4 linked regions of the Rhinolophus ferrumequinum genome follow. The protein of the gene in region 4 purifies or fractionates together with the protein of the main gene of each other region. This does not show direct contact. Links are inferred from orthologs where the notes say so. Each region holds a gene or a part of one and is shown on either strand. Other genes may lie near its edges.

Evidence for each region.
Region 1: the proteins of IFT43 (region 4) and WDR19 purify together in Homo sapiens (affinity purification with mass spectrometry; 3 studies listed by BioGRID and IntAct, counting the BioPlex papers as one, with this or other methods). This does not show direct contact. The link is inferred for Rhinolophus ferrumequinum from reciprocal best matches to the Homo sapiens genes IFT43 and WDR19.
Region 2: the proteins of IFT43 (region 4) and TULP3 purify together in Homo sapiens (affinity purification with mass spectrometry; 5 studies listed by BioGRID and IntAct, counting the BioPlex papers as one, with this or other methods). This does not show direct contact. The link is inferred for Rhinolophus ferrumequinum from reciprocal best matches to the Homo sapiens genes IFT43 and TULP3.
Region 3: the proteins of IFT43 (region 4) and IFT140 purify together in Homo sapiens (affinity purification with mass spectrometry; 3 studies listed by BioGRID and IntAct, counting the BioPlex papers as one, with this or other methods). This does not show direct contact. The link is inferred for Rhinolophus ferrumequinum from reciprocal best matches to the Homo sapiens genes IFT43 and IFT140.

The regions. Positions count from the first base shown.
Region 1 is NC_046288.1:61,049,551-61,056,927, forward strand, and holds the start of WDR19 (WD repeat-containing protein 19), read right to left. Parts: upstream 3,010-7,377; 5' UTR 2,877-3,009; coding exon 2,871-2,876; intron 286-2,870; coding exon 194-285; intron 1-193. UniProt on the Homo sapiens protein: As component of the IFT complex A (IFT-A), a complex required for retrograde ciliary transport and entry into cilia of G protein-coupled receptors (GPCRs), it is involved in cilia function and/or assembly.
Region 2 is NC_046293.1:87,867,604-87,875,608, forward strand, and holds the start of TULP3 (tubby-related protein 3), read right to left. Parts: upstream 3,002-8,005; 5' UTR 2,934-3,001; coding exon 2,893-2,933; intron 1-2,892. Other genes in the region: RHNO1 (RAD9, HUS1, RAD1-interacting nuclear orphan protein 1), read right to left, coding at 5,456-6,019, 6,786-6,953. UniProt on the Homo sapiens protein: Negative regulator of the Shh signaling transduction pathway: recruited to primary cilia via association with the IFT complex A (IFT-A) and is required for recruitment of G protein-coupled receptor GPR161 to cilia, a promoter of PKA-dependent basal repression machinery in Shh signaling.
Region 3 is NW_022680357.1:3,409,300-3,417,097, forward strand, and holds the start of IFT140 (intraflagellar transport protein 140 homolog), read right to left. Parts: upstream 3,002-7,798; 5' UTR 2,872-3,001; intron 2,562-2,871; exon of another isoform or gene 2,409-2,561; intron 1-2,408. Other genes in the region: CRAMP1 (protein cramped-like), read left to right, coding at 7,065-7,410. UniProt on the Homo sapiens protein: Component of the IFT complex A (IFT-A), a complex required for retrograde ciliary transport and entry into cilia of G protein-coupled receptors (GPCRs).
Region 4 is NC_046289.1:22,841,337-22,848,567, forward strand, and holds the start of IFT43 (intraflagellar transport protein 43 homolog), read right to left. Parts: upstream 3,001-7,231; 5' UTR 2,973-3,000; coding exon 2,916-2,972; intron 265-2,915; coding exon 175-264; intron 1-174. UniProt on the Homo sapiens protein: As a component of IFT complex A (IFT-A), a complex required for retrograde ciliary transport and entry into cilia of G protein-coupled receptors (GPCRs), it is involved in ciliogenesis.

The sequences.
Region 1 (7,377 bases), on a different chromosome or scaffold from region 4:
TAATTTGTATCTAAAAAGCTATTACCAGGGAAAAGCTTCTATAAACTCTGGTGCTAATGAAGATAAATATATTACTTTTCCCACCATACCACCATCTCACAACTTCTACCTGAATAGATGGTGTAGTTATGTGCCGGGCATACAACCATTTGGAGTGAGGATAATTTATTTAAAACATTCACTGGTTTCTTACCCTGTTATTGCAAGGTAATTTCCTGATGTTTTTTGCCAGGTAAATTGGATAGGTGCTCCAAGCCAAGTCTTTTCCAGCAGGGAGAAAACACGCTAAAAAATATTTGAAAACATACAATTAAGGGTTGGTCAGAAACGATGTCAAAATATGATCATGGAAACAGTAGGACTCAGGATGGTGAAGGCTTATGTTAGGGTTTATCCAAAAGAAGTCAACAATATAACAAACAAAACCATTAATGAATCAATCAATCAATACAACAAACAAACAAATCACAATCTGGTTGGTAGAATACGGACCTCAATATATTGGGGAAAGCTCATTATAAAACCTTCTTGCTTTTGAAAGTTTTTGAATATTAATTTTATAAAAATGTATAATTTTCAGGGCGGCCGGATAGCTCAGTTTGTTAGAGCGGGAGCTCTGAACAAGAAGTTGCCAATTCAATTTCCGCAGGGGATGGCTGCACCCCCTGCAACTAAAGACTGAAAATGGGGACTGGACTTGGAGCTGAGCTGCGCCCTCCACAGCTAGATTGAAGGAAAACGATTTGGAGCTGATGGGTCCTGGAGAAAAACTCTGTTCCCCAATATTCCCCAATAAATTTTTTTTTTAAAAAGTGCTCTTTTAAAAAAAAAGTATAATTTTCATGTTTTATAAATGTTAAAGAGTAAAATAATTTAAACTTGAATTTAGCTAATTATCAGTGGCATGGATTTTTGGAGACTAACTTTAACAAAATTGCCATTTAAAAAATCTTAACCATGATATAAATACAAAATGTATACACTTCCTTCAAAATTATTTTCTTCATTTACCCAATCGTTATATTTACTTCATGATTAAGTGTTTAATTTGGCTATTGGGCGGACAATGTATCAATCGAAAAATCATTATTTTCACTTCAACAATCTAGAACTGTGGTTATGGAAGCCACAAACCACAGGTAGACTTGAAATTTTATTGCAGACTTGAAATGTGGGTAGACCAAATTTAAATGTGCTTTAAACACAAAATTCACATCGAATTTCAAAGAATATGAAAGAGCGAAAGCAAAATACCTCTGGTAATTTTTTATACTGATTACATGTTGAAATGATAATATTTTGGATTTACTGGGTAAAATATATTATTAAAATGAATTTTACCTGTTTCTTTAAAAATATATTAATGTTGCTACTAAAAAATTTTAATTACATTAGCTCACATATTTATATCAAACAGTGCTGATCTAGAACATCGAGGAACATAGAGCTTGAATGAAAAAAATTTAGATTTTAATATTAGGTTAAGTTACAGATTAAACAGTGATGCCCACATCTAGGCATACTAAGTTTACATACTACACATGGCTTAATAGTCTGAGTGGCAATTATTCCCATGCTCAAAATTAACCATCAATCAATAGGCATTTTGTAAATTAAAGAGATGAAATCCACCTCTATTGAAAACAGAGCTGTGCTATAATCACAGGTGCATCCAATTTCCTGGAGCATGAAGCCGCCCTTAAAGAAAAAAAAGAGTATAAAAGCATCTTACTTTTACAATTTTGTGACCACACTGCCCTGGAACCCCTTCATGCAAGCAAGGGATCCTTAAACTTGAATTTCATTAGCTTAGTGGTAGACTTTCCCTAGCTGTTATCTTACACATTATTTTCCTTCAAAGGAGCTATATATAGTACAGTGGAAAGTACAGTGCAAATGGTGCTAGCTTCACAACCATAAAACCAAGGTTTAAATTTTGCTTTTTATTTATTAGCTGTAGGACTTAAAGCAAGTCGTTTAAATTGCCTCAGCACAGAATTCTCAACTGTAAACCAGGAATAATATCTCCTCACTTATGATAACTTCAAAAATTGTGAAGAGCTTCAGAAATGTGAGTTATGATTCTGTCAGCTCCAATTTCCACACTAATAGCCACAAGGAAGCATTAGGACGTAGAAAATAATTTTTAAATTGAGCTTTCCATTTCTTTGCAAGATCGGGGCAGGGAGGTATTGCTGTGGTAAAGCGGGCAGGTGAAGGGAGCTTTAGCCAGTGGCCCGGGAGTGGGGTTCATGAGAAGCCCAAACCTAGAAACACTGCGTACAGATGACACTCTTGACCGTCTAAACTTGCGTGTGCAGATTTTTCCGTGAATAATACACATTCGCCACCAGGAGATCTGAAAATAGGATCAATCACAAGCAATACAATTACAGATTATTCTTTCAGAGTCTTTTCACTCTTTTTAGGGCGCTGAGCAGTTGCGCGGCTTGCCAGGGGTTTCGCTGTAAGAAATGAGGCAGCTCCTGGCACCCGAATAAGTCCATTTCACCGCGACCCTGCCAACGCTGTCACTGGACCGGTTCCTTCTGCCGGGGGAAATTCGGGGTCTCTTCAGATCCAGTCGGCTCGTTTCCGACCGTGGCGGAGTTCCCTCTTCTCACATTGTTTCAACTCCGGTCGCGATTCCAGAAATAAGAGGCCTTCCTCTCCGCTTTCTCTATTTTCTTTCCTTTCCCCTCGCTCCTTCAACTTCGTCCCCATTTCCTCCTCCCTGGTCACTCCGCTTCCTTCAGCACTAAGAATGAGGGAGGGGGCCATTTGTCCCAATCGTCAAGGGGATGCTCCGCCGGCTGGGAAGGGCTAGTGGTCCCGCCTTCCCGCCCTCGGGGGCTTCGTAAATTACTTACCTTCATCTCAAAGGCTCCGCGGGCCTCGCAATCTAGCGAGAGCGCAGGCGTACATGTTCTCCTCCAAAACGGCTAACGCGTTCTCGTCACCCAGGAGACCACGCTAGCAATGACCAATCAGCGAGCACCAGCTGAAGGGAGTTGCCTCAAAAGGTGCTCCAGGGCGGAAGGCGGGCACGGTGATCACGTGACGCCAGCGAAGCAAGGCCTAAAGACGCCAGCTTTGCGAGTCCTTGCTGCGCCTCGGTTTCCTGTCGGGCTCTGATTGGATAAGACCTGGAGACTTCGCCCGCGTAAGGCGGGCTCTGTGAAAGGCGCCTGCGTATATTTCGGCTCATGGCTAGTAAAAAGCCCAGGGTGACTAGAAAAGAAAGGTGCTGAATGTTGGCACAAAGCGGGAATTGGCTCATAGGGTAAATACTTTTAGTACATGCAAAGAGGGCTTGGGATGAGTATCATCTTTTTTTTCCTCCAGGTTTCTGGGTTAGAAACAATGAGATGTGAGAGGCAGTCTATTCCAAGGTCTTAATAGGCCCACTAAATTGGCCAGCTAAAGTTGGCATGAAAAATGAGCTCTTAAGAACCTGTTTGAGTGGCATAGAATAATGGATCACAAAAATACATGATCACATTAATAGACGGGGAAAAAGCACTTGACAAAATCCCATACCCTTAAAAATACAACACGCATTAATGATAAAAACAAACTAGAAATGGAAAGTAACCTCAAAACAAAAAAGACCTACAAAAAAAATACATAACTAATTAACATCAAACTTAATGGTGGAAGACTATGCCTTCCCCCTAAGGTTGGGGGGAAAAAAAGTCTGTGACCTATTGTCATGCGGGGGTGTCTGGTCCTGCTCCCCGCATAAGAACACAGGATATTGTGAGGCCAAAAAGGAACATCAACAGAGCCATAAATAAGGGAGTCATACCACTATATTCTCACTGGCGGCTGGGTTGGAGACACAGGAAGGAGCCACACAATCCCTAGCCTGCTGTCAGCTTCTTTGCCAACCAACCCCTTCCTAACTGCAACCCACTCTTGCCGGCATAACCACGGGCAGTTCTACCAGTGGCTAATGGCTAACTGATTACAGCTGATGGCCAACTAGTCACAGCTGATGGCCATCTACTACCAGAGCCAGCAAGCACCTTTCCACGTGAGGCAGAGAACCTGGAAACTGCTCTCTGGGACTCTGTCCCCACACCTATAAATGTGGTATATCTTTACATTTTTGTTCTTTTAAAATTTCTTTAAACAAATTTTGTAATTTTCAGTGGACAAATCTTTTACTTATTTTGTTAATTTATTCTTTGGTATTTTGTTTTATTTTTGATACCATTATACATAAATTTTAAAGTTTTTCATTTTTGGATTGTTTATTTCCATTGTAGAGAAGTGTAATTGATTTTTGTATATTGAACTTATATCCTGCAAACTTGCTCAATTGTTAGTTATAACAGTTTTTAGTGGATTCCTTGGAATTTTCTATATTCAATATTATGACATCTGCAAATTTTTTATATTAAGTATTATGACATCTTCCTTGCCAGTCTGGATGGTCTTTATTTCTTTTTCTTGGCAAGAGTGGACATCCATTTAGGAAAGCTAGAACTTACTGATATATTGTACCCATTGTTATTTATTGTATTATAAAATTGTGCTGTTATCTTTTCATTTTTAACATTCACTTTTACCTCAAGTTAAATGAAATTACATAATAATATGGTCAATTTAATGTATTTTCAGGAAATTGGCTTACAAGTTTTGAAGACTTGTGAACATAGTTTTCTTAAAAACCTATTTACTAAACAAAACTGGTAGGTAATGGCCATTGCACATTTAACCTTTAAATATGAGTATTAAGCACACATTTGGATTTTTCAGGGCTTTATTTGTGTGTGCATAGCCTTATAATATGTTTCTATATTTAAATGTTTTTCCATTGTAAAATATGATTCCCTTAAGGACTGCATGGTGTAATAATGAATTGAGCTTGGTCATAAACCCCCAGTTTAAACCTGTTCATGGCATTTATTAGTTCTTTGACCTTGAGCAAATTTTCTCCTTTGAATCTGTGCACACAAATCTAAAATGGGACAGTACCTACCTAATTTGATTTTAGGGAAAATTAAATTATTTAAGAAGAGAAAAAAAGAAAACAAAATCTTGATATCAACACACTTTTCTTTTTGGCCCATTTCCAGTTTTTGCCCCTATATATGCCAGTTTTACTGTGTATTCATAATTATGGTATGTGTGTGAATTTAACACATTTATTTAGGTCCGATAGTAAATATAACACATTTATTAGCCTGCTCAGTCCTGAGCAATAGAAAAGCAACAATCCTAATAAAATTGTTTTTAGTTTTCCCAGACGAAGTAAGTCATCTCTTTCTTCTTCAACTCCCTTCTGTTGCTTTTGGGCTAAATCATTTAGATCATTGGTTCTCTGACTTCAGTGTATCTGATATGTTTAGTGTGTAATAGAATCATCTGGAAGGTCTGGTGAACACAAATTGCCAGCCCCATCCCCAGAGTCTCTGAGTTAGCAGTTCTGGGGTGCTTCTGGAGAATTCGCCTTTCTAACATGTTCCCAAGCTATGCTCATTATGTCCATCTGTGGATTACACTGATCTCTAGTAATTGTTTCCTAAATCCCCTTTGCTTTTTGTCATATGTGTTATACTAAAAACAGTCTATATGATTTTTACATTTAGTTTACAAAGTAACAAATCTTTTCCTAGGGTATGTCTTCTGAAAGTCACTTTTTAATTTATTATTTTTAAGCTGCAAGAAGCATTTGTTATTATTTTATATAAATCAGGGATCCCAATTAATGCCTAGTTTTCTGTTTTTTATTATTCTTGTTTTTCGCATTAGGTTGACAGAATTGGTAGGATTTCAATAGGTGGATAACACAAAAAAGGAATTTAGAAGTGATGAAGTACAGTGGAAGATGTAGACAACGTGATTTGAACCCAGTAATAACTACTTAGTAACTTAGATAATGTACTTAACTTCCGCAGTTTCACTTTTCTTTTTAATTGAAATGTATTTGGTATAACATCGTGTAAGGTGTACAAATTAACAAATGTTAATTTGACACATTTACCTATTTTAATATGGTTGCCATTGTAATGATAATTATCAGCTTCGCTTTTCTTACCTGTAATGGAGCTTAAAAATTAATGGAAATATTTTTCTTTGTGGTAGTCTTTGGGAAATATTTGTATTGTTTGGAAGTGCCTGTGTCCTTACTTGAATGCAAAATCTTTTGTAATACCATATTTGGGAAAGAAGGGAAATCCAGCTTCCCATTCTAAAATTTAAGAAGCAGAACATGAAAGGATCTGGTGTCAGCTTGTTTAGGAGAGATTCATTGAAGAGTTATTCAAGCCATTATACAACCTGTGGAAGAGGGTAATTCCAGAGCGCACAGAGCTATTAATTTTTAAAGCTAGACATGTTAAAGTTGATTGCTTATTTAAGTATAAGGAAATATCTGTTATAGCAATCTTCAGAAAAATAATTTATTTGCGTAAGTATGGCATTATGAAAAAGCATGTTTGTCAGAATCTGCTTAAAAACTGTAAGGATTGCATGAAACTTGTCAAAATGATACTGAAAAAAATGAATAACATAACTTGCTATAATATCAGAAAAATGTTTTTCCAGAGAGCGAGATAGAGAAGAGTTTCCAAGGTGAAGAGAAAGAGGGATAGCATGGCATTAGGGATGGAAAATAAGGACCTTTAATGCTAAATACAGATAAAAGAGTTAGGAAATTTAGATGGAATTCAGGTTTTGGAAATAAATAGATATAACTATAGAGTTTTTCTTATTGCACACTACATTTATAGTAAATGCCAGTATTTGATCATCTTATATTTTTGCCTTTATCATTTAGACTTCCTGACTTTAAAATGATGGCCATTTAAGGAAATAATAATTCCCTACTCATATAGAAATGAGGTCTAATAAGCATAGCAATTAATAACTAGGGAAAGATAGTGTATTCAAAGGTAATATCTGATAAGGGGATCCTAAATTGAAGACATTTCCCTTTGGTTTTCTAACTAATATCAGTAGCTAAAAATATTAATGTCATTTAAAAATTATTAATTGCTATTATATATCATTAATTTTAAACTTAAAATTGAATATTCAACATTAAGCCAATTATTTTTGTCCAGTTCTATGCCAAGCATGACTAGTTGAAAATACATGGCTATGAATCAAATAGCCACGGAAATTAAGAAATTAAAATTAGTCCTGAGTCTATTACAAGTTAATGATTCTTTTTCTCAAGGGGAAAATTTTTGTATTACTTCCCTTGTGTTCATATAGAGTAGTAGTTCTCAATCATATCTGCTATTAGAATTAGTTAGGGCGGAGGTCACTTGGGGTGGCATCAACCCAGATTTATTGAAACAGAATTTCTAAAGATGGAGCCTGGCTCCATCTGTTTTGCTCTCTTTCTTTCTCTTTCTTTCTCAT
Region 2 (8,005 bases), on a different chromosome or scaffold from region 4:
TCCAGTGTCTCACCCTCATTACAGTGCCATGTGGTAAAACAGCAAGTGCCATCTTCTTATGAACCATAAAAGGACTACTATAATTCTTTTCAGAACTGTGATCCTCCAGAGGTCCTGTGACTCATGATACAGTGCTCGTCATTAATGTTTTCACAGAAGTTCTAAGGCAAAGAAAGGGGCAGAGATGACAACCCCATTATCAAGACTCACACCAAGTATTGAGCGGATAAAGACAGCATATCAATCAGCATATGGATAATGTGTCTTCTCTCAGGCATCAGTGGATTTAAGCTTTAACCAGGCCAGGAGAATGTTGCAGGTTTCATTATTAAGAACTAAGGACGTCTGATGAGGCCGAATAGATTCAGCAGTACAAAGAGTTTATTCCTAGTGCATTGACTTAGAGGAAATAGAGCGAAAGGCGATGACAGAAAATTCTTGTTTGAAAGAAGCCTTAACAATTCCACTGCGGAACTACTCTCAAATAGAACTCAGGAAATTATCAAGGCCCTTTGAGTCCTAAAGTCCTCAAATACAGAGAAGCAAGGCAGCTTTAACTACTTCTCTGAGTAATTCAAGCATACTTTTCCTCTTGGTAAGAAGAAACGTTAACCTTTTCTTTTAATGGGGACAGATCCAGAGGAAACAAGAGTTTCCACAGAAAGGAAGACGAGAAGCCAGAAATGGAACTATTCCAAAAAATGTCTGAGTCAGTCTGCTTGGACAGGAAGATCTTGGAAGAAAGGAAATGAATTACTTTCTATCCTTTCTAGGTCTGTATGTAGCCTTCACAATTGGTGAAACACATGCATGTTAGATGTTATCAGGCCTTTACTGTACTTTCTGACATTTGCCAAACATACTGTAGTCACGTATTAGTTAATCTAAGAATTTTTAAGCACTGGCTAAGTCTGTTTGCCAACAATTTGTTGATCTGATGAAACATTTTTAAAAAGGAGAACATGAAAAGGATAACAAGCCTGGCCAAGACAGAAGCTCCAGCTACCACTACTGTTCATAGTTCTAAAGAGAAATCGTGGCATATGGATAAACGACAGATGAGGACTTTCTTAGTCACCTCTGGGTCACAAGGTCACATCATACTGCAAAGTCTCTCTTACCACAAGTTCAATTCTTCATCAGGAACAAGAGGCCAGAGCGAGCTCACATTCCAGCACCAGCCAACCACTGTCATCTCCAGGGAATCTATAATGTCAAATGCCTAGTAGGCTCAACAAAGGTCCTGGGTGTTATTTCAAATTCCAGCTCCAATTCTCACTAAATGTTTCAGATATAGGAAAAATATTTGAAGTTTATTTGTTAATAATTTTTCTACTTTGTTGAAAATAAATCTGCCTCATGGTAAAACAGTCACATAATTCAAAGAAGGAAAAAAGTCACAGGAAACTTAAAAGTTGGATGCTATACTTCACATCGAAAGGTATTAATGCCAAAAACTCTTTCAATGTATTTCATGAAAAACATTAAACACACAACCAGGAGCCAAAAAAAGCAAGAGACATTCCACTCTCTCTCTCAACAACAAATGAGTTAAACAGTAATAGAGGCTGCACTAATATTACCTAGGGCAGGAGAAACATTTGGTGACTCACACATTCCCCTTTGATGTCAATTTCTAAATTAAAGAGCTGGTTTCTTTGGGAAGAAGACAGGGGGAAAACTTTAAAATTATCCCTTGAAACTTCAGGTCCAATAAATTAACAATTCTCAATTTCAAAGTCAATTCCATGTTCCCCAACACACACCAAAATCATAAGTCATATCAAACATCTCGTACCCATGAAATTCACTGCCTTAAATTCAGTCAGTTAAGATTTACTGAGTGCCCACAACTGAAGAAATACCATCTGAATTCAACGAAAACGCTCAATTTTAACTTGACATCCTCCGAGCACCTCCATATTTATACTTGCAAAATGTAGGTTATTTTTCTGTCGACTTGAAAAAAAGTGCAGTGAACAAATTCCACACAGCAGTTATTACGTAAATAAAACCTGATGAAAGAAGAAAATGAGTGTTCTTTACCCCAATGCCTCCTTCGCGACGGTTTTAAATGGTTTAGAATTGTTTAAATACCTATTATTCTAAATATCAGACTAAATCCTTACATGCTAAATCTTTATTTGCCGTGGTAACGGTCTAAAAAGAGGAGAGTAGAGTTGAGGTGGAAGATTTAAATCTTCAGACAATGCCAAAGTTTTAAAGCAGTGATTTCGCGCCGCTCCCCATTAACTTTTCATTAAGCTGGCAAAAAAGAAATTGAGATTTCGGGTCGTTTGACTTCTGGCCGAGGTACAAAAAAGGGACATGGCAGAGAAAGGGGAGCTTTGGTACGTTGCAAGCAAGACAGCCAATCCTGACTAAGAGATAATTACTATAAAGGACATCGAAGCAAAAGAATAGTTTTGCGTTTTCAGCCCTCGGATTCTGTTCCAGAATTCAGCTCTGCCGGCCGAAAGCGATGGCTTTAGAGCAAATTATTAAATTTCGCTTCGATGACCCCGGGACAGACTTCATCCAATCTCATGTATGACACTCCTGGGCGGTGCGTGAGGCACAGGGCTAACGCGTTTTGTGAAAGCGAGGCCCGCAGAGGGCAAGGCGAGCTCACAACGAAAACTCCCCGGAGTTTCCCAAGCAGGGACTGAACACCAAGTCCCTGCTCCCGGTGCAGCCGCCGCTCCCCACCGCTCTCCCGGGAAAAGGGAGGGGTCCTCCGCCGCGGAGGGGAGAGGAGGCTGCAAATCAGTCCCTCCCTCCCGCACTTGAGCCCACCGCCCTGTCCTTCAGAGCTTCCAAAGAGGACCGCCACTGTCTCCCTTCGGCCCTCCGCCCCACTCAAGATGAGACCAGCCACCACCCCTTTCTGACCTGTCCCCGCAGGGTCCGAGTCGGCAGCGCGACGCCTCCATCACCGCAGCTCAGAAAGTGGCCAGCACGTCCAGAACCCGCCACCTACTCCGCTGCTAGGGTGGCAAGCCTGGCCAGCAACCGGCCCCGCCCCCTGACAACCGCACCACGCACTGTCGCCACCGCCTATTGGCCCACGGGCCCGCCGCTCCTCTCTTATTGGCTCTTGCCGCGTTGCGGGAGGGTATCTAAGGAACAGAGGAACCCCGAGTTAAAGGCGCCAGCGCCGGCGCCTGCGCCCGCGCGGGGATGACGCGCTAGTTCTGGATCCCTGTAGAGCTCGCCGAGAGGAGAAGGGGCCGAGATGGAAGAATGTGTTTCCGTCAGCGGCGTTGGCTCCCGCCGCCAGGAAGCCAGTGTGTCGGAGGAGCCGCCCAACCCCCACTAACCGCCACACATGGAACGGCCTCCCCGCACCCCCGCGGTTTGCACACAGAAACCATCCCAGAGCGCTTCCCGAGGTCTGTAATGTTAGGGTTTACAGACTTCTGCCAGCTCCCTCACAGTCGGATCCCTTCCGGACACACCAGAGCCTAACCAGGAACCACACTTGTAGCCTCGCCAGCAGTCATTCCCACTGGAATGCATCTTAGAGTTACCTGCTCTGGCCCTCCAACAGCACAGAACTCCCTCAGCCTCCCCGATTCCAGCCCAAGCTTTTAAGGCATTCCTAGACCTGCTCTACACTCTCCTAAGAGTCTTTACTACCGTGTTAACTGAATATAAGACCTACCCAGAACATAAGCCCCAGTTAAGATCTCAGCCAGATGGATACATTTAGTACGTTATGAAGATGTTCCAGAAGATGACATGACTGTATTTGAATAAATGTAGATTGTTGTACATGAAAAAACAAGACATCCCCTGAAAATAAGCCCTAATGGAGCAAAAATTAATATAAGACCCGGTCTCATTTTCAGGGAAACACAGAATTTACCTATGGACCACCTTCAGACATCCAAACACCTTAAGGAAATCCACTATCTACATCTGTACTCTCGTTTCCAATAAATCTTGTCCTCAACCATCACTTCCTTTCTCTCCAACAACTTACATACAGCATTATAGTCCCTACAAAACATCCTGACAGAAGTTATCACAGATTGAGTTTCGTTTATAGCATTCCAAAGTCAAAGCTGTTTCCACATTGCTTTTGAATTTCTAAGAGGCCTAGAGGTTGGCACAAGTTAGAAAAGCAGAGCGTTGCACTTGCTGGGTCAGCCTCCACTGGCTATGTGACACTGAACATGGTTCATTATCTGTGCTTCCAATTCCCATCTATAACAAACAGAATAATCCTCGTCTACCTGAGACTGGACCTGACACAGAGTAGCTTCTTAAAGCTGAGTGAATGGAGTTGCGTGAGATGCTATTTGTATTGGTCAAAGGATTTTGTTGACCGGGCAGTACTGCACTAACATTTTCACTGCGACTTTCGTCTATAGTCCAATGACATTTCCATGCCACTAACTGGGGCATTTGACTTTACCCCACGAGCTCAGGGCTCCAGAAAGGAAGTTTAGGAAAGCAGATGCACATTTTTCTATATTTTTGTGTTGTTCAAAAATGAATAACAATAGGACATTTTTATACTTTAATCATTTCTTTTAATAAAGTGTCGCACCTTAGCTGTATTTACTTAAAAATATAAATACTGTAATTATTTTCTGTGGATTTTTGACACATTTTGGAGAACTTGAAATCAATCAACGCAGTGAAAAGGTTAATTACAATTAGTATTCTCTGAAAAGTTTCCACATTTATTTATATACATTTTAAACAGTTACCCCAAGAAATCATTTTCCCACCTTATTTCTTTACAGCTTTGGCTGGAAATAAAAAATCGAAACACAGCAAACCTAAGTAACTTACACATGTCCCCTTTACCACCCCTGATCCTACTGTTGCCAAACACGGCTTGCTGCTCTTTCTTCAGCACATGAGCCAAGGTTGCACAGGTGGCAGCTCAACTATAAAAAGTCAGAGCTTGCTTTGAGTTTTTTCATCCATCAAGTCATAGACGAAGCTGCCACTGAGCCTGACAGAGTTGGTACTCAAAAATGTGTAATGAATTATTAGTTTGAATGAGGTGATTAAAGGATAAATGAGTAGTGGTAAAAGCAAACAAGGAAGACCTATTATGGAGGGGGCAGTATTGGCACATACTGGCAGTGGGAATCAGGGTTCTCGAAAAATTTTCTGTGGCCATTTATTTACAAACACATTTTAAACAGTTACTACAAGATATTTAAAAATTTTAAACTGTTAATACAAGAAAAATATAAAGTGAACTGTCTATACACTAAAAATTGTTTATAACAACATACTTAAACAAGCAAATCTGGGAACCGAATTCCCTTATGACTCCAGGGCTCTAGTTAAAATACCTTTCTTCTATTGGTGTTATTGGTATTATTTCCATTTTATTCTACTGATGTGCCCTTCTGTGAGCTGGAAAAGTGACTTTAGCAACTCAGTGAAAACCAGCAATCAATTTCTTGAGATTATTGTCTGAGAAATCTAGTCAGTTTTTCACAAGGAACTGGCTATTGCTCAGCTTCCCTCTCTCCTGGAGGTAAGTAAAGAGGTTTCGTCGTCTCCTCCATGTGACCTTTACCCCATACTTCTCCTCAGGAGTGTCTTTAACCAGAACAGGCCCAGGATCCGGGCTCTCGGGAGTATTAGTGTGAAGGGAGTAGTTTGACAGGCTATTTTCCCTCTGATCTGGGGGAATGGGCCCCTCCTTTCCAGAAGATGACTCTGGGGTCTGGATATCAGGTGCAATGAACACATAAGGTAAGTTTTGAAGTGCATGTGCTGACAGTTCCCCACAGCTCTGGGGACTGAGCATTGGAACTAAGCGCCTTCCGGAAATGTCCTTTTCTGATTGACTGAGGCACTCCCTGGTTAAGGGGATCCCAAGTGTGGCTGAACTGGTAGAAGACTGTGGACTCTCAAATGGTAGCTGTGGAAACTTGGAGGTGGTAGATTTTCGACTTGAATGTTTTGCCTGGTCTCGGTGATGACGTTTCCGTTTCCGGTTGGCTGGGAACCAGCTTTCTGCTGTTCCATCAAACTGAGGTGATACCTAAGGATCAAAAAAAAAGGCAAGGATAGCTAAGTACCAAGTATAAACCTAGGTAGGCAACTACATCTAATGACCAGCAACCAGAATCCTAAATGGGACCCACTATAGTAATGGACACAAAACAAAAATACCTGTCTAATGAATGGAACAGTAATAGAAAGGCATGTAAGATTTGGGCAATCTAACATTTAAGTTTCTACTATCGTGGAGCAAGTATTATGCCTTGTCTAAGCAATCCTGAACAAGTTATATTTATTAAGCACTCCTAAGCAGAGTTTATGCTTTTGCTGTACTACTTCCTTGACTTTGGTAGCTATAGTCTCTTCCCAGGGCTTTTAAACTGTCAAAATATGACCCATGCCATTTCTGTGGGGTTTATTTGAGGTTCAATCTATTAACGAGTAAATAGAGTACCTAAATACTCTATACCTCTCATGAAGCTCAGAAAACAATCTCATTTTTCACTAGTTCTGCCATTTATCCGGCTTTCTCACCCAGGTACTGGGTAATGAAACTTTTATACTGAACTCCTTCAGAGGAATGTGGGGGGAAGACTCCAATTCCAACTAACCTATGCCTCAGTTGGAATTTAGAAAAGAAGATATAGCAGAAGAGATGGCTGACAACAGACAGAAAGAGTATACTGCCTCCTTGTCCCTGCTCCCATGAATCTTATTCTTTGGAGGTCCTGGTTCAGCGAGCAGAAAAGTCAGTATTCTGAGAAGCTTAACAGAGTAAAAGTGAAAGTAGGAATCCCACTGCTTACCCAGGAAGTAATAGTGTTGTGGTCAATGGGCTTGCTGGGTGCCCGCACAGTGTGGGTGATGGGATACTGTGGCGATGCATAGCGGTGTTTGGGGCCCTCTAGTGGCTGTTGGTGGAACAGCAGCTGGGCTTTCTGGGACGTTTGGCGGCGTTTTTTTCTGGGAGGCATCAATAGGTGAATGAAGAGCAGTTAGTAACCACATGGTGCTGGCTGTAGTCAGGTCCGGAGAGAAGCTTCCACTCCAACCCATGCCTGCAGAGAAGAAACAAAAGCTCTTCCTCATACTCGTCCAACCAGTCCCACTATCAACTTACCACTCCCACCTCAAGGTTGTGGGGAGCACAGCTTCCTATACCTACACTACCACCTTAAAACACAGTAGTTTACATTCAACATTTGTTCAATGAACATCTATCGAGCATATGTTAAGTGCCATGCTGGATTTTGGGAATTCAAACATGAATAACCATTTATTCCAGGATCATTTATTGAGTGCCAAGCACTTGCTGGGACTCAGAGGTCAGGCTGTCCCTGTTTCAAAGACTTGAGAAAAATCAAGCGGGATAAGGGGTTAGGCTGACTGAGTGCTATTTTGGACAAGGTTGTCAGGGAAGGCCTACCGAGCTTCCCCGAAAATAAGACCTAGCCGGACCATCAGCTCTAATGCGTCTCTTGGAGCAAAACTTAATATAAGACCAGGTATTATACTATATTACATTATTACATTATATTATACCTGGTATTATATTATGTTATGTTATGTTATACCTGGTCTTATATTATATTAAAATAAGACCGGGTCTTATATTAATTTTTGCTCCAAAAGACGCATTAGAGCTGATTGTCTGGCTAGGTCTTATTTTCGGGGAAACACAGTATCTGAAAAAGTGATATTTGAGCAAAGACCTGAATGAAGAAAGGAGAACAAGCAAACAATAGAAAGATGTGAGCAAAGAATATTCCAGGCTGCAAGAATAGTAAATGCAGAGACCACAAGGTGGGAATATGTCTGACTCGTTCAAGAAACGATAAGGTCAGCATGGCTGAACTGGAGAGTGGTAGATGAGAACCAGTTCATGTGACACAGGGCTTTACAGGCAAGGTTAGGGACTCTGGATTTAATTATTCTTAATGTGATAGGAAGCCACTGACAGGTTCTGGACAGGGCAGTGACATAATCTGACTTATACTTTAAAAAAATAACTTGAGGGGCTTTGTGA
Region 3 (7,798 bases), on a different chromosome or scaffold from region 4:
CTGGTTCCTTAAATATTAAACGTGGAATTGCCATGATTCAGAAATTCCAGTTCTGGGTAGAGACCCAAAGAATTGATAGTAGGGACGTGAACAGGTATCTGTACACCAATATTCATTATTCACAGTAGCCAAAAGCAGCATTATTCACAGTAGCCAAAAGATGGAAAACAATCCAAATGTCTACCAACAGGTGAACGGATAAACAAAATGTGGTATATTCCTACAATGCATACAACTCAGCCTTAAAAAGGAAGGACATTCTGACACATGCTACAACGTGGATGAATCTCGAGGACATTATGCTAAGTGAAATAAGGCAGACACAAACGTAAGATTCCATTTCTATGAGGTACCTGAAGTCGGCAAATTCATCGAGACAAAAAGTAGATTGATGTTTGCCAGGGCCTCCTGGGAGGGTGGGGACATGTTTAATGTACACAGGGTTTCAGTTTGGGAAGATGGAAAAGGTTCTGGGGATGATGGTGGTGATGGTTGTACTACAATGTGAATGTATTTAATGCCACTGAACTGTATTCTTCAAAATGGTTAAAATGACACATTTTATATTATGTATATTTAACAACAAATTGTGCAAAAAAGATTATTCAACACCTGCAAAATTCTATCACTCTATCAGAGTAGGGAATGGACTATGCCGTTTGCTTTTAGCAACGCAGTAGTTCTATCAGAGGGAAACTTGAAGGCTGTTTGGATCTAGAGAAGGAAACTGTTTAGCGAGAAGCTGGAACACATGGAGGTACAAATGAACAGTCACCTGCCAAATGTTTACCTTTTTCTTATGAATATAGCTTGAATATTAAACAAAGGCACAATTTCTGAGGTGGTGCTCTCGCCACCACAAACTGCAGGGCAACTATTCAGGGCTCCTGGTAAAGCAGCCAGGTACTAGTTGGAGGTGCAGGAGGGTTGGGGGACTGCAGGTAACTCCAGGGGTTACCTGCACACACCCATTACTTAGGGGACATCTACACTGGTCAGGACTCCGATTTCTTTAAGTCCTAATGCAAACCTTCAAATAAAGCCATTAAAAATGAAAACACACCAGATAAACACCTGGCGATTTAATACAGCAAAGGAAATCCTTTGTGTTTGAATGTATTGCCGCCAACCAAGCGTCTCAATTCTGGACTATGGGAAATTTGTTACTCACAAGTTCACAAGTTTACTTTGTGAAAATATTCCTCTCCAAAATGAGTAACATGTCAATATTGTAATGATGGAGAAAGAATTATAATAGCACTTGAAAAAGTTAAACCTGATTTCCTCCCTATTTTTTATTTTAAACATCACTTTGTAATAAGCATGTATGCTAACAGATCTTTACATTCCTTTTCTCCTGTCTGGGGCTTTTTTCCCAGAGGCTCTGTCTCCCCCAAACCCCTCCTTTGGGTACTCAGGAAGTCTCCTTTCCTCCAGGGAGCTCTCGCACTTGACTTGTAGGTTGTTTGTGCTTCTACCCAGTGTCCCCATAGAACCCTGTACTTCTTCATGGCTGCATTTAGCGTTTATTATAAATGTGTGTTTGATCGGCCATCATCCACTCCCTCTAGATTATGTGCTCCACAGTGGGGGACTGCTGGGGCCTCCCCAGGCCCTTGCACAGACAGGCCTTCAATAAATGAATCCCTGATGAAGATATTAGCAAGGAAAGCTGTAAAAAGTGGGTTACAGGCCAGGGTGAATGAGTACATTTTTATGCCACCTAGGATTGTTCATCATCCCTTTCACCTGCATTTGAACATTTTTCTACAATGTATAAGTATTATCTGAGTAATCACAAAAGTTACCAAGGAAACACGAGGAGAGATGACTAACAATAAAATCATTGCCAATGACATCTATTAATGGCATGAGTTCAGACAACAGAGCACTTCTCTTCCTTAAAACAAATGCAGGGTCTCTAGCACATAAACGCCTTTGGTAAATGTATCAACTTTGGGGAAAGAAAAAAAGTTCCATTTGTTCGAACCAATTTGCTCTTCTCAGCTACGGTCCTCCAACATACGGCCTCCATTAAACCAACTTTTGGGAAAGAATCTGTTAAGCTCATTCAACCGAGCGGTTCGTGGTTCTAAGGCTAATTTAAGTTGCATTGCTGCTTGGAGATGCTGCACGAGGGAACCCGAAGGACTTTGGGGCAATAGGCGCTGAGTGGAGGGGCGTCGGGGGCAGGAACTAGTGGCCACCCTGCACAGCTTCATCCTCTAGGCCACAAGCCCCAAGCCTCAGGACGTGCGGGGTCAGAGCTGCATCCCGAGGACCTGAAGGAAAGCCATCACTAGTTGGGACGGTGTGGCTCCTTTGGGCCGAGGACAGGCCGCGCAGAAAGTTGGTTTCTTATTCTCTCCCAGCCCCAGGTTACCGGGAGCTCTGCCAGCATCGCCCACCTCTCAATCCGGTCTTCCGCCGGGGCTCACACAGCCACGCGGCCCTAAATCGGACTTGGACTGCACCAGATGTGGCCATCATCTCGCGCTGACCATTCTGGACGCCGCGCGCGGAACCCCTAAGCCTTGACCTACCCGCGAGGGGCCGCGAGAGAGCGGCCGAGACCGGATTTCCGGACGAAAATAAGCTGGGAGGGCACGGGATGGGGTCCCGCTCGCCTAGTCGTCGCCCTCTTCCTGGCCCCCGTCCTCCCACCCCACCGCCCGGTCCCAGCCCCTTCCCGTTCCCGCCCCGTCGTCGCCCGCCTCCCGGGCCCCCCACCTCCAGCACCACCCGAGAACCTTCTCGGCCCCGCCTAGTCATCGCACTTCTCGGGGCTCCCGGCCCACCCCCCGACGATTCACCCACCTCCGACCCCTCACCCCCCAGCCCCCGGCCGCCCTCGCCCCAGACCGCTAGTACCTTCGCGGGGCCGCAGCGCCGCCTCGCGTTGCCAGGACAACGGCTGCTCACGGAACACGAAAACAGCCGAAGATTAGCGACGCGGACGCCGAGCCCACCCGAAGCTCCCCGAGAGGCCGGAAAGAGTCGAAGAAGATCGGGAGTGTCCGTGCAGCGCGGAGGGCGAGATTTCTCTGCTGATCCCCGCCAGCCTCGAGCTCCGCGGTCCTGCGGGGCAGCTTCCCCCCCAGCGTAGCGACGGTCAAGAATCAACAACGCTAGCTCGCAAAGAGGGGCTAAGAGGCCAAATGATTTATAAAGTCACTTACCGTTCTGCGCAGAGAAGGGAAGCTGGTGAAATTCTTCTAGGGGTGATGGCGATGCAAAGCCTGTTTTGCGACCCGTTCCCATAGTTATACCTTTCCAACCGCGTTGATTCATCAGGAAGTGGAGGAAAGCAGCAGAGACTATGGTGGAGAAACGGAACATCATTTTATTTAAGAATCTCTCTTGTCTGACTACTCTTATTGCTCGATCTTCTGGACTCCAGGCTGTTTCTATGCTCTGCTTGTCTGATCTTAAGGAGCAGGAGTTGGTTCAAGAGTATTTCTGAGAAAAAGCAATTCAATTGATTCAACATACTTCTTGAAGTTATTAGGTAATTTATGACATGCATATGCGTTCAACGCTTTGGGCGCCCTATGGATGCCTTTGATGAGATAAATGGTAGCCACTGACTGGTACGAGTTCATCCCATTAGGTAATGGGATGGGTTGGGTAACCTGATTAGGTTTGGGTAACCTGATTTCTTGGCGGCGGACTGTATTCCAAAAGGCATTAGCAACACGCGCTCTGACTTTACGATCAGTGTGGTTAAACTAACTTTGAAATTAACTTTGAAAAACAAAGCAAATGTCATTTTAAAAAGTTACTATAGCAAAAGGTAGCAAAAAGGTCCACATGATTAAATGAAAATCAAAAGGAAAATGTGGATACTACTGGATGAGACGGAATTGGTGCCAGCATACAAGTAAGATTCTATTGTTAAAAACACCCTTTTCATAAACACTAGAATTTTTTTATTGAATAAATTTGACATTTACACAAAATAAATTTGTGTAAATTTAGGGTATACAGCGTGATCTATATATTGTAATAGCTCATATAGTTTATTCCATTACTAATTGTAGTACAATATTGTCTATATTCATTATAGTGGTCATTAGATCGCTATGGCTTCTTTTACTATTTCATACAAGTTTGTATCCTTAAACAACTTCACTCTTATTCCCTCCCCATAAACACAAGAATTTAAGACACTCCTTTACCTCCCTAACGAAGAAAAAGGGCCTAAATACTCAGCACCACCCACTACGCTAAAGAGCTTCAAAAGCACACGCTAAATAAAGGGTGTGTTCATCTGCCTCAGTTGCACTCTTACACTTTTTCTTTCGCGCCAGATTCAAGATTCGGAGCTGAGGCGGCGTTTTCTTCTCACGCATCCGTCAACACGTCCCCAGCCAATCATAGCCCTGGCGTTGATTTTATTGGCCGTCGATCCACCAATCCAGAGAGACGTACCAGCCCGCAAGGACGCTAGACGGCGTCACAACATTACCCGCGTCGCAGTCCCTCCTCCCGCCCCCGCCCAGCGTCCGTGCGTGCAAGCGCGCTAGCTCGCTGCTGGCCAATGGGAGCGCCTCTAGAGGGGTGCGCCCGCTGAAAACTTTGGGCGTGCTCGTCCCCGCGCTCGTCGCCCCTCCCCGGTCCGCTGCCCGGGCCCCGCCCCGCGCACCACCTCTGCGGTCTCCGCCGGCCGCCGTAGCCGGAACTGCTGTTGAGCGCGGCTCGCCGGGTCTGCGGGAGGCTGCGCGGCTGCAGCACCGGCGCCGGCAGCCCAATCAGCCGCACCCCGGCCGCGGAGGGAACGTGCCGGGGCTACGACTGTTGCTCGGCGACTGTACCCGAGGCGGCAGTACCACATCGGAGTCGCGGCCTCGCTGCAGCCAGCGCTCGGGGCCCGGGGCTGCCCAGCCCGGCCGGATCTGCGGGCGCCCGGGAGGCCCCCGGGGGGTCCGGGAAGCCAGGCTGCTGCGAGGCATTGATGAAAAAGGTGACCGGAGGCTGGGACTGGGAAGGGATGGGCCACGTCGACCGGCTGTCACGGGAAGGCCGGGCTCCAAGCTGAAGCAGGGCTGCGGGGGAGCGGCCTGCATCTTTGCGGCGGTGGTTACGCACGCGGTGCTTTGTCGGAGCGATTCGGGGGAGCCCGGAGCGAGAAGTGTTGCGTTGACAGCGCGCTTTGTGTGCAGCCAGAAATCGGCCCGAGAGGAAGGGTTTTGCTTTTCCTTGCCCGAAACGTGACAAACGGTGTCGAGCCGGGATTGGGCTGGAGGTGATTCCACCTCTGCACGATGAGGAAGTGAGGTGGGAGGTTTTCGGTAAAAGGTTTTCAGTCCCCGTGTTTTCCTTTTCCCTGAGGGGAAAACTCTGAACTGTGTTCGTATCCTTTTAATTTTGAAAACCCACGCCCTTCAGTGATCAGTTTGTCTTCCAGTAGTCAACCTTGCAATCGGGCAGGCTGCTTCTGTTGTGGCTGATGGATGCTCTGCCTGAGCCCTGGGTTGACTGTGGGTCGCTTGGGGACGCCAGACCCCTGGAGGTAGGGTTTCCCCACATTATAACCCGGAGCAAGGCCTTTTGAGATGTTTTCAGGTATCTTAAGGAGAAATGGATAGGATGAGCAGTGAATAGTGAGAATGGCTGTGCAATGAAGTTCTTTACGTTTGCATCTTTGTCTTGCATCGGTCTATTCTTGGGGCAGTCTTTTTTAAACTAGCATGAATTCAAACGTGTAGGATCCCTTACCGCAGACGAAAATTGTGCAGATCATTTTGTGACAGGACGTCAGAGCAGTCAGAGGTCTTGCTGTGGTTTTTCGCTTGATTCCAAATCTTTCTCCCGAGAGGTCCTTGGCCCGGTTACTGTATTTTGTTGTCAGCCTTGATGCCTTGTTCTGGTTTTTCCTTTTAAATGGAAAGGTCATGGTCCTTCAGCAGTTGTGTTGAGCTTGTCAAACACACTTTACTTTGGGCACAGCATCAACACCTGTTGAGGACTCGTTTCTCTTTCTTGCTTCCTCGCTTGCACACGTTATTATTTCTGGGCTTACCCTGGTAGATAAGTACCTGATTCTCTTCCTTTATTTTTGAGTGGGTCAGCTTTCTGGGGGTGCAAACATTTAAAGAGTCATCGCTTTTTGTTGTCGTGACATTTCACACGGCAGTGAGTACCAAAGTTAATGCAAGAAGTGCATTAATGGTTACCAAGAGTTTTCACACAGTTCTCTTCTACCCAGCCTTGCATTTGGACCTGGACGTAACTGTGCTGTGTCCCTTTCAGGGTTGGCCCCAACCTGTTCAATGCAACAGGCTCCTTTGTTGCAAAAAAACATTTTTATTTCGTAAATCCCCGTAGCAGCACACATCTCCCATCCCGGGAAGCAGGATTCCCAGAAACCCCAAGCTTATTATTCTTTATGTCTGTTTAAAAATAAGCAGGCGGACAGGCAGCCGCGGGCCACTATGGAGTTCCCTGTGCACGCAGGACACTCGGCGCCTCTCCCCTGCCGGGGTGGATCCGAGGCCCTAGACCCCGTTCAGGGGCCAACTTCGGGGGCCGCCGTGCGGGGCAGGTGCGCGGGCCCGGAGCCCCGCGCGTTTTGAGGGGTGGGGAGGGGTGGGGACGGGGGGCGCGGGCGCCGAGGCCCGGCCGGCCCAGGCAGCGTGGGGAGCGAGGCCAGCGCGCAGGCTGCTCGCCGCGCAGGCCATGAGCCGCGGCCCCTCCGGGTAGGTGGCTCTGGGCCGCGCCGCCGGGACCCCGGGACCCCGGAACCCGAACCTGGAACCTCAGACTCGGATCCCTCCCGACCCCGCCGGGCTGGGGCGCCGCGCGGGCAGGGCCGTCCGGGCGCGGCCACCGAGCTGCCGCCCGCCGCCCCGGCGCCGCTGTGTCCTGGGCCCCGGGGTCCGGCCGGCGGTCCGGGCAGGGGTTCGGGGTCCGGGACGGCGGGCTCGACCGGGCGGCGGCGGGCGGGCCGCGGGAGGACCTGGAACAAACAACGGCGGCCATGTTGAGAGGGAGGCGGGCGGCTAAACTTCGCGGCGGCTCCGGGCCGCGCCGGCCTCACCGGGGCCCCTCTCCTCTCCCGCAGGATGACAGTGAAGTTGGGAGACGGCGGCGGCGGGGAGGAAGGGCTCAAGAGGCTGGGCAAGAGGGCAGCCGATGAGGACGCACTGGAGGGAGAGGGGGCCGGCGGCGGGGACGCGGCGGAGGACGGCGGTGGCACAAAGAGGGACGGCAAGACCCCCCGGGGCGGTGGCGGCGGCCCCTCGGCCCCCGCGGGCGGCCCGCAGGCCCCATCCCCACCGCCCGCCTGCCCCCAGGACCAGCACCACTTCCTCCGGTCCAGCGTGAGGCCGCAGAGCAAGAGGCTCAGGAAGGACTCGTCCTGCGCCGGGGGGAGCAGCGGCGCTGGCAGCTCCGGGCCCCGCGGAAAAGGTACGGGGGACCCCAGCCCCTTCCAGGGTGTGCAGTCCGCTCGCCTCCTGGCCTCCACCCCAGTTCCTGATCCCGCTCTCGCATGTGTCCAGTATTCACTTGGGGTCGCACTCTGGAGGGGACGTGCCCCCTTTCTCCTCCAAAGTGGCTGTTTCCTTCTATTTTTAAACTCTGCTAAGAGGCTTTAAGTATCCTTTCTTTGGGCAGGTACAATAGATTCCCGAAGGTTCGGTGTTTTTAATCTCAAAGGATCATTGATGATTTACATGGTAGGCTCTTTTACACAGCAGACAATAGTTTAGAAATGGAGAGAAAAAATACCTGGGGTCTCTCTTTGCCAGACCGTGGAAATACAACAAAGGAATGGGTTTTTGCAACTCCTTTGGGG
Region 4 (7,231 bases):
TAAAATGTTTCTTTTTCATTTCTAACTAATAGGACAAATGCCAAGGAAGGGAATTCCCAAATCAAGAGATGGGAGAGCTGGCATTAGAGAGAAGAAATGCTGAATACTAAATCTGTGCTCATTAAGTAATCGCTAACTCTTAACAGAGCATTTCTTCAGATTTTTAACACCTACCTCTCCAGTCAGAGTTGAAAAATTCTTGCCACTGAGGTAATTCTCAGCTTGAGCTGACTCCTGTTGAGCTCGGCGACCCATCTTGGCCCCCTGTAAAGAGAAATGAGGGACACTGCTGACCCAAATGTCTTTAAGCAACGACGAGGACAAGAATTCTGGGATGGTAAGCAAGGATTGAATTTACAATGACGTGGTGGAGGATGGGGTTTGAATAACCTGAATATATTCTTAGAAAACGCCCCAAACCTTTAACACAAAGCAACTGAAGTCAGTTCTATCTGATAGAAGAACAGGAAATTCATGGGTTAATGACCATAAGGTCTTCTTTTAACTGCCATAGATCTTTTCTACCCCAGAAAAATGCAGCTAGCTATTCCTCTAGAATGGGCAGAGAACTCACGCCACAGCTCAGGGAAGCATGTGTAAAGGTTCCCATGTTCTTATGCAGGAGTTTAGGAAGGTCAAATTTCAAAGCTGTCGGTTGGTGTGAAAATAGTTATCAAAAAGGCATTTTGGGGAAAGAATTCCTAAATTCCATGGCAACTGCCACCAGAGAAATACAGACAGTATTTGCTTTGACGTATACACTAATTGGATTTCCACTTACAGACATTAAAGAAAATCTCTTACAAGAATTTTGAGACATCAGCTTTGGAAATCAGAACACTTCAAATTCTGAGTCATCAAATGAACCATTTACAGATTCCCAAAGTCCTCCTAGGGTAGAGGTTGTGTGCCTCAAATGCTTTCCAGCACATAAACAAAACTTTATTTAAGAACACTAGTGGGTGGTGAAATACTTATATTTTCATTTGTTGGCTTTAAAAAGCTAGCATAATATAAACACTTTTAGATCTTCTGAGATGTAGCTTTATTTCATTCTCATAATAACAGAGACTGGGACTGATATCATTTTACAAATGAGGAAACTGGGGCCCAGGAAGGTAATTAAGTGGCAGACATAAATCTAAGAGCAAAATCTTCTTGTCTTCAAATCTTGAGTTCTAGCCATTATACCATGATGGAATTTCAGTTTAAAATGTTCCAAGAACGGACTGCACCAATAAATTGAGAGGGGTTATATGGGAGCTGCATAAAAACCCTTTATGGTGTGTCTACATTTCAAATTTTAATCCATCATTTAAATTTCAGGGATGGAAACAATTTTTCTGATAATAAGTGGCTCATTTTCTACCCAAGGCAGATTCTATTCCTTCATCCGTGGTAGCTCTTTTCCATTTATCATAGCATTGGGTATCTAAATACAGCATACTACACACAATGGTTGTGCTAAAACAAAAATTCAATGATCTTATCTCTACATGCTGTTTACACATGGTTTCTCTAATAATTAAGTATTTGAAGGTTTTAAACTTTTTGAAGACCCTGTATAAATTCACAGGTATGACTAGTAGAAAAACTACTATCTGATTTTATATATTTTAAATGTATAGTCTGTTTATGGTCCATCTTCCCCCACTGGAATGTAAGCCATATGAGGGAAGGGACTGTATTTTATTCACTGCTATATCCCCAGCACCTAGGACAATGCCTGATACACAGAGGGGCTCCATAAATATTTGTTGAAAGAATGAAGAACTAAGCAGGTATTAAATAGGTACATCCTTAGGTACTAACAGAAAAGCCTGGAGACCTAATATTCCCCTTGGTCAGTCAAACAACCTGCTTCATCTTAGAACAATTTGCAGGATCCTGTCCTTCAGATCTCCCTCAGAGAGGTGCTCCTCTCTGGTACCTTGGAGGACAGTCAGTGCTATCAGAGGACTTCAAAGCACTTAGATTCCACAGCAGAAACTAAAGATCTGCCAAGAGGCTCAATCTTTCAGTAAATGTAATCTTGACAATTTTAAAGGTAAAAAGGCTTGACGGGGCTATGGTGGAATTAAAACAAAAATCACTGAACTTGGGTATTGAATCCAGGTAGGTTAGTTACTGCCTCTACAAGCCTGGGTAAACCACAGCTGCAGAACAGCAGCTGCTAACCTCTTCTAATAACTTAGCAACTCCCAGGCACTGTGTCAAATGTTTTCCGTGCATTATATCACTTCATCTTCACTGCAACTCCGGAAGTAGACATCAACATCTCCATCCTGGAGATAAACCTAGGTCCTGAGAGGTTAACTTTCTTAAAACCCACGCGACAACTTTATATTCCATTTGACCTCTGGGCCTCAGCACCTCCACGTTATGAGTCTTGATTTCCTTACCTATAAAGCCCGTGGGGGTCAAAGGCAACAAGGTCCCTCCCCGTCTGCCTGCCTGCCTTCCAAGCATAAAACAGTGCGGTGTGTAGGTGAACTTCTGGCATGAAAAGTCCGAAGGGAAAGTTCTAGGATGGCTGCAAGTGCGACCCTGGCCGGGGCCCCCCTGCAGCCACTCTCAGAACTATACTTTCTAGGGGAGTTCGGCCCTGCGGCTCCAGAAAGCGGAGAGAAGCCGGGAAATTTCCCACTCGTCTCAGAGGCCGGCGGGGCTGGGATCTGTTTTTCATTTTTGAGGATTTACAGAAAGCAAAGGCCAGGCCAGCAGCAGCGGAGCCCCCCGCAGCCCCGGGGGCGGGGCGCCCCGGCTGAGGCCTCGCCCCAGCGCGACTCCGGGCCCGCCCGCTCCGGCCGCTCGGGGCGAGCCGCGCCGAGGCGCCTCCGGGAAGCCGGGGCCGCGGGGAGCGCTCCTCCCCACCCGCCCAGTCCTGGCCCCGACACCCGCGCCTCGGTCCTCACGTAGGTGGCTGAGCCCCGGCGCCGCTCTTCGCCGAGGTCCAGCAGCAGGTCCTCCATCTCCGCGGCCGCCTGACGTCACTTCCTGGAAACCAAGCAGCCTAGTGGCGTCCCTGACCACGGCTCCGCCCTTCCGTCCCAATATTTAAAGTTAGCCGCGTTGTGCCCGGATTCTATGTGCCATCCTCCAACTTAAATATTTCCTAAATCTGCCTCGCTTGACTTCCGGAAGAAACCTCCAGATATTAAATCCCGCTAAGGCTGCTCCTCTGGGGCGGTGAAAAACTGTTAGTCTTTTTAAAAATACGTTAAGTTATTAAGTGCACAGCACCACTATTAATAGTAGCAATTATTCTGATCCCTCCCATTTGTATAGCTCTTTGCAACGCACCTAGGACCTTCACAGTTATTAGCTCGTGTGAAAGGCATAACAATCTTGTGTGGGAAGCAACATAAGTTCTATTATCTCCATTGGACAGATGAGAAAACAGGCTACAGGGGGTCAGGTGTTAATAAATGGTTTATAACGGAAAATGCAATATACATAATCTCTGCCTTCAAAAAATTTAGAGAGGCTGAACTAACACATGAAGTACCTGAATAGTAATAACTATCAAAAGTCAAGTAATTCCTCCAACAACTCCATAAAATGAGCAGCAGTAATATATCTATTGAACAACTGAGGACACAGATGAAAAGAGGTGGCTTGAGGAAAATCACCTGAGTGTTAAGCAGCAGACCCAGATGGCTGTCTGACACCGTATTATTGGAGTATTTTTCTCCAGCACATATTCCTGGGTGCCAGCCTTTCTCCTAGGCCAGCAGAGTAAGATGGCCTGCAAATTCCCAGTGTGGGGGAAGGAGAAGCTTTCCTCTACTCTTCTAGCTTCTTTCAGCTGGTCTAATAATCAAATCAACATGAGACAGATTAACAAGAGAAAATAACCAAATTTAATTACATACTTAAGTATGGGAACCCCATATACATGGGCAAGTCAGAGACCCGCCACCTACATGAGAAGTTCAGAGATGAAGAGGGAAAAGGAGGTACATGTGACATTTTGAGCTAAGGATAAAGTAAGGCACATTGAGGCTTTAGAGGGAACAAATGTCATTTGCAGGACAATAAGAAGAGCAGGTGTTCAGTAATTAGAGGTTTGCCCTGGCCTATAGATAGACATAGTAGACATAGATATAAAAAGTTATTTCTGGTGATAACTCTTATTATGGGCAAGGCCTCTAATGTAAATTCTTTAAGGGAGAGATAAAAGTTTGTCATGAGACCACAGGGTCTTGACTGTTTTCAGCTCAAAATAATTCACATGCCCAAGTGACACATCTTGGGGAGGCCTGTTTTGAACCCCTTCACCAGCCTAATGGGGCGAGTGAGTTGAGTCTTCATTGACTCTACATATAAGATCCCCAAGTCGACACCATTGTCTGGGTCTCTGGTACTGGTCAGCGGGGACTCCCAGACGACGGGCTCATGGCACTGAAAGTGAGCAATGTCTCCAGTATTACACTGGCAGGAAGGCCTAGATGGCCACCGCTTCAAAGCGAGGGCATGGAAGTGGAAGTGGAAGTAGCAATCCTAAAACTGGATTGCAAGCATTTCTTGAATACTCAGTAAATTGCTCAGTTCAACCATTCATCCACCTATATTGACTGGAGAGGACTGTGCATTTTAGCACCCCACAGCACAATGCCGTTGACAGTCACAGCATTGCTTGGATGTCAGAAGAGTTGAGGTCTCATCCTAGCTCTACTGACAACTACCTGGGGAGCCAGGCAGAGCCTCTCTGGACCTCAGTTTCCTCTCTTGTAATTATTCTTAGAGATTACCCCAAAGATCGTTTATTCACTAACTCTGATTCTCACTGAGGATACTCTTCGATTTTAATCTGAAGAAACATTCATTGCTAAAAATCCGAGATGGATAAAATATAGGCTCTGATGAGTTCCTTGTTCCCTTCTTTCTTGGCACCAGAAGAGGAAGAAGGAATCAGTCTTTGGATTTTTTTCATTTCTTGTGAGCTCATAGCCATACCACCACCAACTTATAACCACTTTCCAAACCTTCACTCCTACTTCTTCCCCAACTTCCTGAAAGCAAGAGGTGATCAACGCTCACTCTGGACAGAAAGAAGCCCCAGAGTAGTGGCTTCCAAAACTTGCTGGACGCCAGATTCACCTGTGAAGTTTGTTAAAAGTACATATGCCAGGGCCCCATCCCGGGAGACTGATTTAGTAGAGGTGGAGTCCAGAAGAAAGTACCTTCGATAATTTTCCCTCCCATTTTGCAAGTTTGCTTAAAAGCCTCAGTAAGCCCTTTGCTGCTTTAAAACTGCAACATCTATTTTAAATTGCAACCACCACCACCGCCCACCCCCTCCACCCCTCACCCCCACCATACACACACTTCTTATCCTTCTTCCCTGTTTTGTTTTCTACCATGGCACTTACCCTTTATCATACTACATCATTTACATATTTATTTAGTTGATTGCCTTCCCCACTGCCCCACCTCCACTTCTAGAGTGTAAGCTCCATTAGGCCAAGGGTTTTGTTTGTTTTATTCACCTGCATATCCAGAGAGCCTAAAACAGTGCCTGGTATATAGTAAACACCAAAAATATTTGTCAAAGGATGGCTGAATTCCAGAGGCAGTAAAGCATAATAGTTAAACTCATAGACTCTTGCAATAGACTCCTCAGTCCAAATCTCAGTGTTGACACTGGTTATAAGACCTTAGGTAGATTACTTTTAAGTTTTCTACACCTGGGTTTTCTCATTTGTTATGCAAACGACAATAATGCCTACCCAAACTAGAGAGCTTATGTAAAATATCACCTCCACCACTCCAAGCAGTGGACTTTTAAGCTGCTCTGTGCCTCAGTTGCCTCCAGTGTAAACTGATCAACCGTGGTCTGGGGACGCAGTGAACATTCCTTCAGTTAATGGCCTAGGAGCCAGGAGCAGGAACCAGACCTGGCAGGAAGGGTCCAGGAAGGCCGGATGAGGTGGCTTGGGGTGGAGTGGAGGGGAGCAGCACTGATTCCCAGGAAAGTGATCCATTCAGGAGCAAGTCTGGGGGTGGGGGGGGGGGGGACCGGTGGAAGCGACGTGTCTTGCCCTCCCCGAGCTTCTGGGAAAATACCTAGAAGCTTAGGCTGAGACGAGGAACGAAAGAAAAGAGAAAACTTCCCCTCACCCATCTGGGAAATGGGCTCCTGCCAACTGCTGACTTTGCGCTCACTGGCTCAGTTCCCTGCGGAACCCCCGGCGGGGAGGGAGGCTGCGAACATCTGGAGGACATTTCTGCAAAAGAGCCGCTGCAGAGCAGGGCTCGGGGGAGGGAGAGTTGCACTTGTACGCACGTCGGGCCGAGAGGGAGGCTACTCCCCCAGGCCTTCAGGCTTGTTTTCCTCCGCCTTTCTTGCAGCCCCTTCTCCCCAGCCCCAGCCCCCAGCCCCCAGCCCTCCTCGCCTTCCCGGCTCCGACTCGCGGAGCCTCGGTCACTGACGGCCTCGCCTCGCCAGAGGGCACCCTCGATCTGCAGAAAAACGCCACCATTTTCAGTGCCCCTGGAGCATCTCCAAGCTTCAGCAGGCTGCCCGACTCCAATCTTGTCAATGAAGAATCGTGGCCAGGATCGCCGCGGAGCTGAACCCAACTCCAAGCCCGCAACTAGTCCGGGCATCGCCCCAACCGAGGGTGGCACGGCCGCCCCTGCCCAGGCCCCGCGCACGCCCGACCCTGCACAGTATCGGGCCTGGCCCGGGAAGGAGTGAGACTCGCGGAGGAGAGGGACAGACTGACAGCTGGAGAGGGCGAAGGAGTTGGGGGAGAAGCAGGGAGGGGATTCATCGGAGTAACTTTCCAGAAAAACAGTCAACGTGTAGCAGGAGTGACTCCAAGAGGGGAAAAAAAGTTCAGTTACCACGTCGAACTAGAGGACTCGCAAAGTATTTTTCAAATGGACTCGGCTTTTCCTGTGCCTGTTTAAAACATTAAAATTGTGCAGCAAAAGAGGCTGCGTGCGCTGGTCCCTCCCTCCCCCACCCGGGCCAGAGACGTCATCGGAGGGAGGTATAAAATTTCAGCAGAGAGAAATAGAGAAAGCAGTGTGTGTGCATGTGTGTGTGTGTGAGAGAGGGAGAAGAGCGAGAGGGAGAGAGAGGGAGAGGGAGAGGGAAACGCAGGAGGGAGAGAAAGGGAGGGAAGCAGAAAGCCAAGTCCGAGGCAATGAGCAAGGGAGGCGAGAGATAGGGGAAGAAGCATGAGAAAGAAGGAATAACAGCTTTCCGGAGCAGGCGTGC